Linked DNA regions of Cricetulus griseus. The protein of the gene in region 1 interacts with the protein of each later gene in a pairwise test. Links are inferred from orthologs where the notes say so. Each region holds a gene or a part of one and is shown in the gene's direction. Other genes may lie near its edges. The genes, in order: Map2k3, Arnt and Fgfr4.

Evidence for each region.
Region 2: the proteins of Map2k3 (region 1) and Arnt come close enough for resonance energy transfer, tested with the Homo sapiens proteins (2 studies listed by BioGRID). The link is inferred for Cricetulus griseus from reciprocal best matches to the Homo sapiens genes MAP2K3 and ARNT.
Region 3: the proteins of Map2k3 (region 1) and Fgfr4 come close enough for resonance energy transfer, tested with the Homo sapiens proteins (2 studies listed by BioGRID). The link is inferred for Cricetulus griseus from reciprocal best matches to the Homo sapiens genes MAP2K3 and FGFR4.

Annotation. Positions count from the first base shown.
Region 1 is NC_048600.1:74,919,890-74,923,634, forward strand, and holds the start of Map2k3 (dual specificity mitogen-activated protein kinase kinase 3), read left to right. Parts: upstream 1-1,166; 5' UTR 1,167-1,339; coding exon 1,340-1,388; intron 1,389-3,745. UniProt on the Homo sapiens protein: Dual specificity kinase. Is activated by cytokines and environmental stress in vivo. Catalyzes the concomitant phosphorylation of a threonine and a tyrosine residue in the MAP kinase p38.
Region 2 is NW_023276806.1:61,085,620-61,089,364, reverse strand, and holds the start of Arnt (aryl hydrocarbon receptor nuclear translocator), read left to right. Parts: upstream 1-1,141; 5' UTR 1,142-1,289; intron 1,290-1,433; exon of another isoform or gene 1,434-1,810; 5' UTR 1,811-1,897; coding exon 1,898-1,921; intron 1,922-2,079; coding exon 2,080-2,348; intron 2,349-3,745. UniProt on the Homo sapiens protein: Required for activity of the AHR. Upon ligand binding, AHR translocates into the nucleus, where it heterodimerizes with ARNT and induces transcription by binding to xenobiotic response elements (XRE).
Region 3 is NC_048596.1:274,156,763-274,160,407, forward strand, and holds part of Fgfr4 (fibroblast growth factor receptor 4), read left to right. Parts: intron 1-275; coding exon 276-399; intron 400-899; coding exon 900-1,090; intron 1,091-1,212; coding exon 1,213-1,351; intron 1,352-1,684; coding exon 1,685-1,878; intron 1,879-1,959; coding exon 1,960-2,105; intron 2,106-2,188; coding exon 2,189-2,310; intron 2,311-3,645. UniProt on the Homo sapiens protein: Tyrosine-protein kinase that acts as a cell-surface receptor for fibroblast growth factors and plays a role in the regulation of cell proliferation, differentiation and migration, and in regulation of lipid metabolism, bile acid biosynthesis, glucose uptake, vitamin D metabolism and phosphate homeostasis.

The DNA of each region.
Region 1 (3,745 bases):
CCCAGGAGGCTGGCACGGGACTAGAATCACTTTACCCATGTCTGTGGCATGCTTTCCTACTTCCTCTGCTCATTCCTCAAATAGTTCTTAGGAACCTACTATGTGCGTGGCTCTGGGCTAAGCCTTGGGATAGTGCAGGGGATGAGACAGTCAGGATTCCTAATTGGGAATTCCTAATGGGGGGAGGCGGGTGGCACGGGAGGAGGGGTGCGGTAGAAACCAAGTATGCAAACAAGGCATTGGTGCCCTGAGTGCTGGCCAGAGAGCTAAGACTCACTCAGGCTGCGACTGATTCCTTGACCTTGTGCTTCTTGCCCTCACTACGGCCGCCCGCCCGGCTTTCCATCCGATCCCAGAGACTCCTGGTTAGTGTGAGGACAGAGGCTCAGCGACTGACCGCGGAGATGGAACCCCACTCAAGGTTGGCCAAAGGTATTTCAATGTTTGGAATGACACCTTTTTATCGGAGACTACCCCTAACCCCTAGGAATAGCGCCGCTATAATGTTACAACACAAAAAGTTACTTTGTTACTAGGCACTGCCAGGTAGCAGCTGAATCCGGGTGCTCCTTAAGAGCCGGCGTGTCAGGTGCTCTTGGCTGCAGCCGCCACACGGACTTAAACGCGTGTGCGCTCCGCAAGGCGCGGTGAACTCTTTCCCACAGTTGGTCAGCACTCACCTGGCACGCGCCGCCGCGGGATCTCGTTTCCCCTGCTGCCCTAGGAGGCAGGCCCGAGGTCGCAGCTCTCTAAAGGGGAGAAGCACATGACGCTCACCCTTGGAACGGCGCAGCCACTTAGGAGTCCAGTCTCATTCCAGGAGCAATTTTCCAGGAGCACCCTACCAGCCGCATCGGCCCGGTCCGACTATCCTAGAGAGCTTGAGATTTTCCAGATTACGACCGGCACACGCTGTGCCGTAGGGGGGCACAGGCTGGGGTATCCAGGACCGCGCCAGCACCATACCGCGAATGGGTAGGGCTGTCATCTTGATAGGCAAGAGGGCGGAGCCGGACCGGACTAGGGGAAAGCAGGGTTGGATTCCGGCTCCCGGAGGGTGGAGCTTGTGCGTGACAGTCCGGTCGGCGTCTGATAGGCAAGGGCCTTTTCAGGTAGGCCAATCGGCGCGAGGGGCGGGGTCTGCGTGGCGCCGTCGGCCGGCGTCCGCCGCTGCCCAGTGTGGCTGTGGCGCCGCCCGCCTCGGACGCTTGCTACCGTCGCTTCTCTGCTCCCTATCGCCTATCGTCCGCCGCCTGCCGCCAGCAGCCATGAGCGCGCCCGGCCTCGGTGTAGTCTGCTGTCCTCTAGATTAGTGCTCTCCACCGCGACCGTCCACAGCATGGAGTCTCCCGCCGCGAGTCCACCGGCCAGCTTGCCTCAGACCAAAGGTAGGCGCTCCCGCCCTACCGCGCGGCCCGAGCCACACTCAGTTCGAGCCCATCCGGGACACTGGACTCCCTTCCGGGCCGGGCACAGGCAATGGCACTCCAGCCCAGGACTGGATCCAGCCCGAGCCCGGGACCTCGCGGGACCTCACTGGAATCCGGATCTTAGGCCGTGGGACTGCACCCAGGCAGGATCTCGTTCTCTACCCCGCTCCAAGTCTGGAGCGTAATCGTGAGCTCCTCGTTTAGGCTTCCGGGCTGCATCCTGAACTTAGCCAGGATTTCACTGATTGCCTGCTAGAGGGTCCTTGGGCTGCACCAGCCCCTTCAGGCCAGGCTCCTGGATTGTGTCCAGGCTGCAATTTACTCTCCTCTGGGCCCCCGGGCTGTGTTCCCAATGCCGGAAACCTGCCTAGTCTTGAACTCAGAACTCCTCCTCTCCTCCAGCTCCATCCGTTCTTGTGAGCCCTCCTTGGCCCATGCCTTGCTGGCTTGCACACTGGCCGCCTGCACTCCTCCCTGAGGCTGTCTCTGTAGAACTTCCTGGCGGCTCCACTTCGCAGCTCAGCCCATGCTACCTGCTGCTCGTTGACTCAGTTGCAGTCTTCTAACTGCACTTAGGAGCCGACCTCTTCCTGCACCTACTGTTTCTTGGTCTGCTGCCTTCAGAACCGGTGTTTGGTACTTGGGCTTGCTGCTAGGCCAGGGGCTAACTGTACAAGGCTGGGACTTGTCTCCAAGTAACTAACTGGCTTTCTTGGAAATTTCTGTGAGGTGGCAGTGATGCTGCGTGGGCTGCAGAAGCAGCAGCATTTGTCATGGGAAGTGAGGGGGACAAGACTTGGAAGGCAAGACTGTTTCTTTTCTCTTTCTTTCTTTCTTTCTTTCTTTCTTTCTTTCTTTCTTTCTTTCTTTCTTTCTTTTTCCAGGAAGAGAGGAACGTGTTTTTGACATGTCAGAGACTAAGTAGGTTGGGCTGCAGAAAAGAGAGTTCCAAACTGGACCTACAGCTGTGAATAGGTTGACTCTCTGCATTCTGAACCTGCCACTGCCTCACCTGGCCAGTCTCTTGACACATCTAGGCCTTATTAATGAAACGGATACCTGGGGTGTGATGGGAGATTAAATGTAGGGTGGTTTGAAGCAATCATGGTCGAGATGACCAAGAACCCATCGTAGCACCAGGCACATAGTAGGTACACAGGGGAAAAAGTTGGCTGTTTCCAGCTGGAAAGGTTCAGCCCTGTGGGGTTGGGGCCCAGCTTTGGATTGCAGCTGCAGAGCAGAGATGATAGGAATGGCAGACATTTAGAGGATGCTGGGGCAGTAGTGGCCTTTTCTCCTTCTGACCTAGGAAACCTCGACCTCAGGAGTCCTGGTCTTGGGCAGGCTGTCCTGGGCAGGCGGGGGCCTTTCCAGTCCCCTGCAGCTGGCTTCCATGGCTGTGCAGGAGCCCAGTGGGCGGGGTAATTGCATCTTACATAAGTGGGAGGCCAGATCCCTGACCATTGCCCAACTTCTGTGAGTAACTAGGGAGGCACTTGTTGGGGGAGGTGGCTGGGGAGGGACTTGCATGCAGACCTCGTGGAACTTGAGAACCAGGAAATTAGATGCTGCTCCAGTCAGGAAGGGTTGGAAGCAGTGTTTGTTTTAGAGGCATTTCAGTTCTTCCAGGCGAGAGATGCTACATCAAAATAAAGTTGCAGTTGTAGATTACAAGGGAGAAAGATTGTGGGTGACATAGCAAAGCATTGATTGTGGATACTGTCCACCCTCATGGTGACTTGAGGCCTGGCACTGGACTCTCTGGGTCTTTCTTCTGAGAGGGCCAGTATAAATTTGCAGATTGTAGGTTAGGTAACATGATATTGGGTGGGTTGGATGGAAGTTGAGACTCTCTCCAAGGCCCGGGATCCCTTGTAGCCTTTTAGGGAGTCTGGAGACATCTGTGATGGTGGAATGACAATATCCATTCACCAAAAGCTTTTGAGTTGTCACTTACCAAGCTTTTTGTGCTATACCACGTGCTATACATTGCCTTGTTTATTCTCCATAGCCCCGTTTGCCTATTAACAGAAACTCGGGGACACGAACCATTTACAGAGGCTACACAGCTGTGATGGACAGAGCATGGCTACAGCAGGACTATAAGCTGATCTCCCCAGTGCTCCCTCCATGCCATTCCTGTATAAGGTGCTTAGGGGAGCAGTGGGACACTGTCATCCTGACCATCACCCCCATGCCTACTAGACCTGGAGGCTGCCTGAAGCAGAGGACCACCTATTGTGCATGCAGTTTTTAACAGTGGTTGCTTCCATTAGTGTGACCCTGCAACAGATGCAAAGGTGCAGGTGCAGGCT
Region 2 (3,745 bases), on another chromosome or scaffold:
TCGAGAGCTTGCTGCAAACTGCACGAGGCTTTATTGTAATTTAACGAGCTAACCCCATGTTAGCTCGGGTCTTTCACCCACCCGCCATGGCAGATGGCTAGCAAAGACGGCTCCTACGGGCTCCCAAAAGATCTTATAGGGCAGCGTAAGGGGAGTGTCTAGGGGTACGCACAGGCTTACGCACAGGCTCACGATTGGTGTGTCTCCAGGCTTGGAGGGCTTGTCCTGTATTGATTGGTCAACTGGTTGTTATGGCCCATAGGCCCTCCCAGGGTGGTTGCTATGCTCTTCGTGTCATTGCTTGTACGTAAAGCACACCTAAGGTCGTAAAGCATAGCGCCACCAGCTAACCTCTGATTGGCTCCCTGTCACGAGACAGGCATCTGACTTTCTAGTGTCTAGGTCAAGGTCATAGAAGCACATGTTCGGCCATAATGGCTGCCAACAGGGAAGCGGGTTCTTTCAATGGTCAAGCTAAGTACTTATGATTAATAACAGGGATAAACCTGACTCAGTCCCCGGTATATGACTTCTAATACTATAGAGATCTGCAGAGTATGGCATTTAAAGTGCTAACTAAAAAGCTTATAATATCAGACAGATAATTCCAGATCCTGACAGTGACCCAAGGTCTCTAAAGAAGATTATGGGGCTCCATGGACTGTGACAATGCTGACCAATGAGCATGATGCTCAGATGCTAAACCTGCTGCCAGACAGGACCGGGCTCAGACTGTGGACAGGCTACAGGACACTGGAGAATTGATTTCACCACCTTTGCCTAGACAAAATAAGGTCAGTCTTTTCCATGTCCCTCTTCCACAGAGAGAAAAAACTCTCACTATATGGACCTGGCGAATATTTATTACTGCCCCCAACACTATTGAGACTTGGGTATGGCTAACTTTATATGGAATGGACCCTGTCATTTTTAAATAGATTCAGAAGTTACACAGAATTTATCCTTCTCAGAAGTCTGATAGTATTAATGATTAGACTAGCTATACACGCCGGCTTGACGCATGCTCAATCTTAGGTTCCCACAGTCCTTATTCTGCCGTGCTGGGCAGTAAATTTGACCCTGTCCGGCTACCGTTGAGCGGCCGGAAGGGCGCTCGATTTTGCTTCCGGGCCTTTTGCTTTTCCCTCTTGATCCCTCACGCGCCTTTCCCACCCCCGCTCTCTCTCGCTCTCTCTGGGTTTCTGTGTTTGTGGGCGAGGCCGAGCCCTGGAGTCGGAATCTGGGGTCCTCGTGGTTGGGAGCCGCAGTGGTGAGGAGGGCTGGCTGAGGTAGGCTGAGGCGGGCACCCCGGGGGTTTTCTGTGGGAGGCGGCAGCTGTGTGTAGACACCTGGCGGAGAGCGGAGCCGGGCGGGGGCGGGGCCGAAGGGGGCGGGGCCGACCGGGTCGGCGGGGCCGAGGCTCCTTCCCTTGGTGGCCGAGCCCCGAGCGCGTGACTCGAGTGTGGAGGTTGTGTGGCCTCTGCTGCAAGCTGTGCTCTGTGCAGGTAGCAAAGACCTCGTGTTTCCTCCTTTCCTTCCCTCCTGCTGGACGCAGACTCCGGGCCGGGTGCAGCCGAGGACCCCTTCCCTGTGCAGCAACCCCCTGCCTGGTCGTAGGAGTTACTTCCCACGGGGAAGCAAAGTAACGTAACGGGAGAAAAGGAGTCAAAACCCAAGATGGAAGTAGTTAGTTACGGCCCAGCTGTGTCCAGGTGGACGTGGTACTTCAGCTGAGACACAGCGCAGAGACGGATTCGTCTCCTTGATAAACAAGGAGCACGTTAGCTCACAGAAATACCTTCCTTTGTAGACAAGCACGCTTCAGTTTTGCGAATCATTGTTTTGGGCAGCTCTCTACTGCAGACCGGTGTTCTGCAAGCCCTCCAAGCTGTTCCTCATGCCCGTGGGTCTGTGTGAGAAGGTGAGTTTCCCCAGAAAATCTCCGGGTGGCATTCTGGTGAAGGAGGAGAGAGAACAGACTATGAACAAGAGCTTGCAGGATAGGAGTGCGTTTTATGATGAGGCTGAAATTGCCGGCTTGTTGATGTCAGAGTCATCGTGGTTCCTTGTTCTGCACAGGGCAAAAGCATGTCCTCCCTCCCTGGGTGCGTTAGTTTGGATGCAGCAACAGCTGCCCCTGACTCTGAAGACATGACTGAGCTGCAGCAGGCAGTGGTTGAAGAGCTGGGTATCTCTATGGAGGAACTTCGCCAGTTCATTGATGAAATGCTGGAAAAGATGGACTGTATACAGCAGCGCAAGAAGCAGCTAGCAGAGTTGGAGACGTGGTCGCTACAGAAGGAGTCTGAGGTGGCTTATGTTGACCAGCTCCTTGATGATGCATCCAGGTAAGGATTCATGGGAGCAAAAGTACCGTCCGTTTGCAGGCTTGTTAGGGTGATTGTTCATAGCAGAGTTCAGCCATGTGGGGCCTAACGCTTCCTTGAGATTCGCCCGCCTCTGTCTCCCTAGTGCTGGGAGTAAAGGTGTGTCATCACAGCCCTGCCTTCCTTAGTGTTTACAGTGCAGAGTTGCAGCATACACTTTTCACCCATGTGTATGGTAGCTGGTACACGGTCAGCAGTAGGGAGGTTAAAGGTTTGAATTCCTTTGTCTTCCTCCTCCTTTCTTTAGTAAGATGACCAGGAAGTGAAGATAGTAGAGTTGATGTTTTCTGTTTTTCCTTTTCTTTTTTTTCCAACGTGGGGGTGTGGTGGGGGCTGTTTTAAGACAGGATTTCTCTGTGTAACAGTAAGATCAGGCTGGCTTCGAACTCACAGAGATCTGCCTGTCTCTGTCCCCTGAGTGCTTGGAATGAAAGGCACTTAGCACTACCACCCAGCTCTGTTTTTCATTTTGTTGTGAGACAGAATCTCAATGTGTAACTTTAGCTGGCCTGAAACTTGCGGAGATCTCCAGAGTGAGTGCTGCAGTTACAGCACCCCAGCTTTGGTTTGGTTGGTTTTTTAGGGTCTCACCACTAGCAGAGTGTAGCCTTGAATTTGCTTGGTCATGATCTCCACCCTCCTGATGTTGCTCTTTTACATCCGCAGTGTTGGGATTATAGGTGTGGGCCAGCATGCCCGAGTTACGGGTTGTGTTTGGGATTGCACCAAGGGTTAAGCAATCATTCTGCCAGTTGAGCTAAATCGTCAACCTCTCAACTTGCTGTCTTTAACTGTGAAACATTAACAAATTCCAATCAGATTGCCACAGCAACTTCAGTCAACCAAGTAGATGATGTTAGTATTGCACTCAGGTGAATTTTGGATTGTTGATAAACTAGTTGAAAACTGTTGCAACTACTTACTTGTTTTGGTTTTTGGTTTTGAGGGAAAGTTTCTCTATGTGTCTTTGGCTGTCCTGGAACTCTTTCTGTAGTTCAGGTTGGCCTCAGCAGAGGATCACTCGGAAAGATCCTCCTGCTTCTGCCTCTTGAGTACTAGGAGTAAAGGCATACATCACCATTGTCCAGCTTATGTATTTTCCTTTTTTTTTTTTTTTTTTCCCCTTGGATGTAGTGTCTCTTTACATGACTCTAGCTGCCTTGGAATTCACTATGTAGACTGACTTGGCCTGGAACTCATAGAGATCCCCCTGCCTTTGCTCCTGAGATTAAAGGTGAAGGCCTGTGCCATCTGTCCTGTTGAAATTAAGCCACCTTTAAAAACCTTATTCTTAAAAAACAAAACAAAGAAACAAACAAAAAACCTTATTCTTAGTTCCCAAATCCATATAGATAATT
Region 3 (3,645 bases), on another chromosome or scaffold:
TGGAGTTACAAATGGCTGTGAGCCACCGTCTGGGTGCTAGGAATCAAACCTGGGACCTCTAGAAGAGTAGCCATTGCTCTTCATTGCTGAACAATGGCCTCCAGCCCCACTCAGACACTTCCTACAGCATTTTTCTCTGTCTAGGGATCTCTGGCCTTGGTCTGGTCCTCTCAGGGCCTAAGGAGACTGAGAAGAGCCATAGGCAGGTTCTGTCCTCCCTCTGTCTGGCTCTCCCCAGTTTAGTGGTCCCCTACAGACACTTCCTCTGCTTCCAGCTGCGCCACCAACACTGGAGCCTGGTGATGGAGAGTGTGGTCCCCTCAGACCATGGCACGTACACATGCCTCGTGGAGAACTCTCTGGGCAGCATTCGCTACAGCTATCTGTTGGATGTGCTGGGTGAGCGGATGGGCTGGGGTAGGACAAAGAGTGTTACTTACCTTGGGCTCCATCCTGCCCTCAGGGTGGGTATCTTGTCTTGGAGACAAGATGGAGTCAGTTTTAGATGAGTCAAATGGCTCTAAGGATCAGAAGGAAGCAAAAGGGCCTGTGGACTGAAGGAGAAGTCTGCCTGAAAGTGAGAAGGGCACCACCAGGCAGACGGCGCGGGCTGGATTCAGTTACTAAGGAAGCAGCGTTAGTGGCGGGTGTGTGCCGTGAGCGCAGCATTTATGGGGGTGGGGGCAGGCTGTGGAAGCTTTGTGTGAGTCTGAGACGCTGTCCTGGACCTAGAGGCAGTAAAGCCATAAGAGGTTGAAGGAGGGTGAGCAGAAGAGACGGGGTCTGAGCTGCAAGTCCAGAAGGTCCTTCCCTTGAACTGGGATGGTGGCTGGGGCAGGTAAACTGGGTGATTTCATGGGCGCCACCGGTCAGGGTTGACGGCTTGGCCTGGCCCCCAGAGCGGTCCCCGCACCGGCCCATCCTGCAGGCGGGGCTCCCAGCCAACACCACAGCTGTGGTTGGCAGCAATGTGGAGCTGCTGTGCAAGGTGTACAGTGACGCCCAGCCCCACATCCAGTGGCTGAAGCACATCGTCATCAACGGCAGCAGTTTCGGCGCTGACGGCTTCCCCTATGTACAAGTCCTGAAGGTTCCGTTCCTGCGAGCGCCTGGGCCCCACCCTTTCCCCCTGGGGTGGGATGGTCCCCAACCACCCTCCCAGCTACAGTGTGGCCCCTGACCCTCCTGTGACCCGGCCTGTCGCTGCTTCAGACAACAGACATCAATAGCTCAGAGGTAGAGGTCTTGTACCTGAGGAATGTGTCAGCTGAGGACGCGGGAGAGTACACCTGCCTGGCGGGCAACTCCATCGGCCTTTCCTACCAGTCAGCGTGGCTCACGGTGCTGCCAGGTGAGCACCTGGGAGGCCTGGGAGAGGCCACAGGCTATGGCCTGTTGGGTGGGCAGTTTCCTTGGCCTGTGGGGGTACAGTATTTGTTTGTTTGGGGCACTGTACATGTTAGATTAATGCTTTCTCGCTGAATCCAACAGGGATATGTGTCTGATTTTACATGACTGTCCATGTGGCCCTCAGGGGTATAAGACTTTGTGTAACTGCCACTTTTTCAGTGTGTGTCCCTTTATGTGTTGGTAGCTATGGGGACCTAAGGTGGGGGAGGGGGAAGGCTGACCCATGGAACACTGACCACTCAGTTTCTCTATGTCCTTGTAACGGTGAGAGCAGAGGAAGACGTCACGTGGACCACCACAGCATCTGAGGCCAGATCCACAGACATCATCCTGTATGTGTCTGGTTCACTGGCTTTGGCGGTGGTCTTGCTGCTGGCCGGGGTCTATCACCGACAAGCAATCCATGGCCACCACTCCCGCCAGCCTGTCACCGTACAAAAGTTGTCCCGTTTCCCTTTGGCCCGACAGGTACTGTGCCTATCCCCAGCCCCTGCCCTATATGGCTCTCAGCCTGGCCCCAGCAGGCAGAACAAATCCCCCACTTTGCAGTTCTCTTTGGAGTCCCGGTCCTCTGGCAAATCGAGCTTGTCCCTGGTACGAGGTGTCCGACTGTCCTCCAGTGGCCCACCCTTGCTCACAGGCCTTGTGAGCCTAGACCTACCTCTGGACCCACTTTGGGAGTTCCCCCGGGACAGGTACACTGAGCAGAGTAAGGATGGGAATGCCAACTCAAGAGTGGTACCCACAGATCTGAGCCATGGGTCTCCTTCATCTCCAGGCTGGTGCTCGGGAAGCCCCTGGGCGAGGGCTGCTTTGGGCAAGTGGTTCGAGCAGAAGCCTTCGGCATGAACCCCTCCCAGCCAGACCAAACCAGCACCGTGGCTGTGAAGATGCTGAAAGGTATGTGTGGCTACCTGGGCAGGGCATGCTGGGACCAAACTCTGCTGCTGGTGTTGTAATTTTAAAAAAGCACTGCAAGAGAGAAAGATACCATGCAACAGAATTCAAGTGGAGGGTTTTTTGTTTTTGTTTTGTTTTGTTTTGTTTTTTAATTAAGGAAAGGGATCATAAAAGGGGGAAAAGAGAGGGGGAGACCAACCTCTGGGGACAGGAGCAGTGGGAGAGAAGAAAGAGAGGCAGAGAGGCAGAGAGAGAGAGAGAGAGAGAGAGAGAGAGGGAGAGGGAGAGGGATAAGAGATGGGCAGGGCCCTTTTAAAAGGGAAAGTAGTGAACGTGCACAGGTGGTGCTCTTAGTGGCTGCAGCTGTCAGAACCCCGAGGGCAGGCCAGAACAGATGCCTGAATGCTAACATCTGGCCTTGGCAAGTGACTTCTGAGCCTCACTTTCTCCTCGTATCTCTATTGGGATAAATAATGGTCCGTTGCCTCTCAGGCTGGCGTTCAGAGGATGTGTCTGGTACACAGGGCTTAGTAAATTTTTGATACAGGGTATGAAATTTTTTTTGCTTAAGGCTGAGTCACAGTCTAGCCTGGGCTGACATGGAAGTCACTCTGCCATTCAGCCCAGCCTGGAACTCATAGTGATCCTCCTGAGCACTGGAACTCCACCTGGCTAGCTCAGTAAACTTTAACTGCTGGGTGATGATCCCTATGAGATGTGTGGTGACTAGGGCTCGGGCCTCATGTATCATCCTCACGTGTCTTCTCATCAATCCCACTAAATTACACACCACCATCACATAGTCCTCCCATCCAAGTCTGTATTGATCAACTCTGTTTAAAAGCCCCAGTCTCAGGGCTGGAGAGATGGTGCAACCATTACTCTTGCAGAGGACTCAAGTTCAATTCCCAGCATCCACATTGATGTGGGCAACTTAAAACCACCTACCTGTAGCTCCAGCTCCAGGGATTCTGACATCTTCTCTGACCTCTGAAGGTACCCCACACACATGGCACTTGTGCGCGCGCGCACGCGCGCGCACACACATACACACACACACACACACACACACACACACACACATTGCCAAGTTCATGGGTCTTGGGGCAGATACTTGGGATTCTAAGACAATAGGATTATAAAACCAAGGCCTGCCTAGGCTACAGATTGATACAAGTCCAGCCCAGACAACTTAGTGAAACCCTTTTTCAAAATCTGAAGAGGACTGGCTAAGTGTCTTGTAAAACGTGCCAGGGCTGACATACAATCCCTCAAAAAAAAAAAAAAGCTGGGACCTCATGCAATGTCCCCAAAGTGTCACTTAGCATTTGTCCA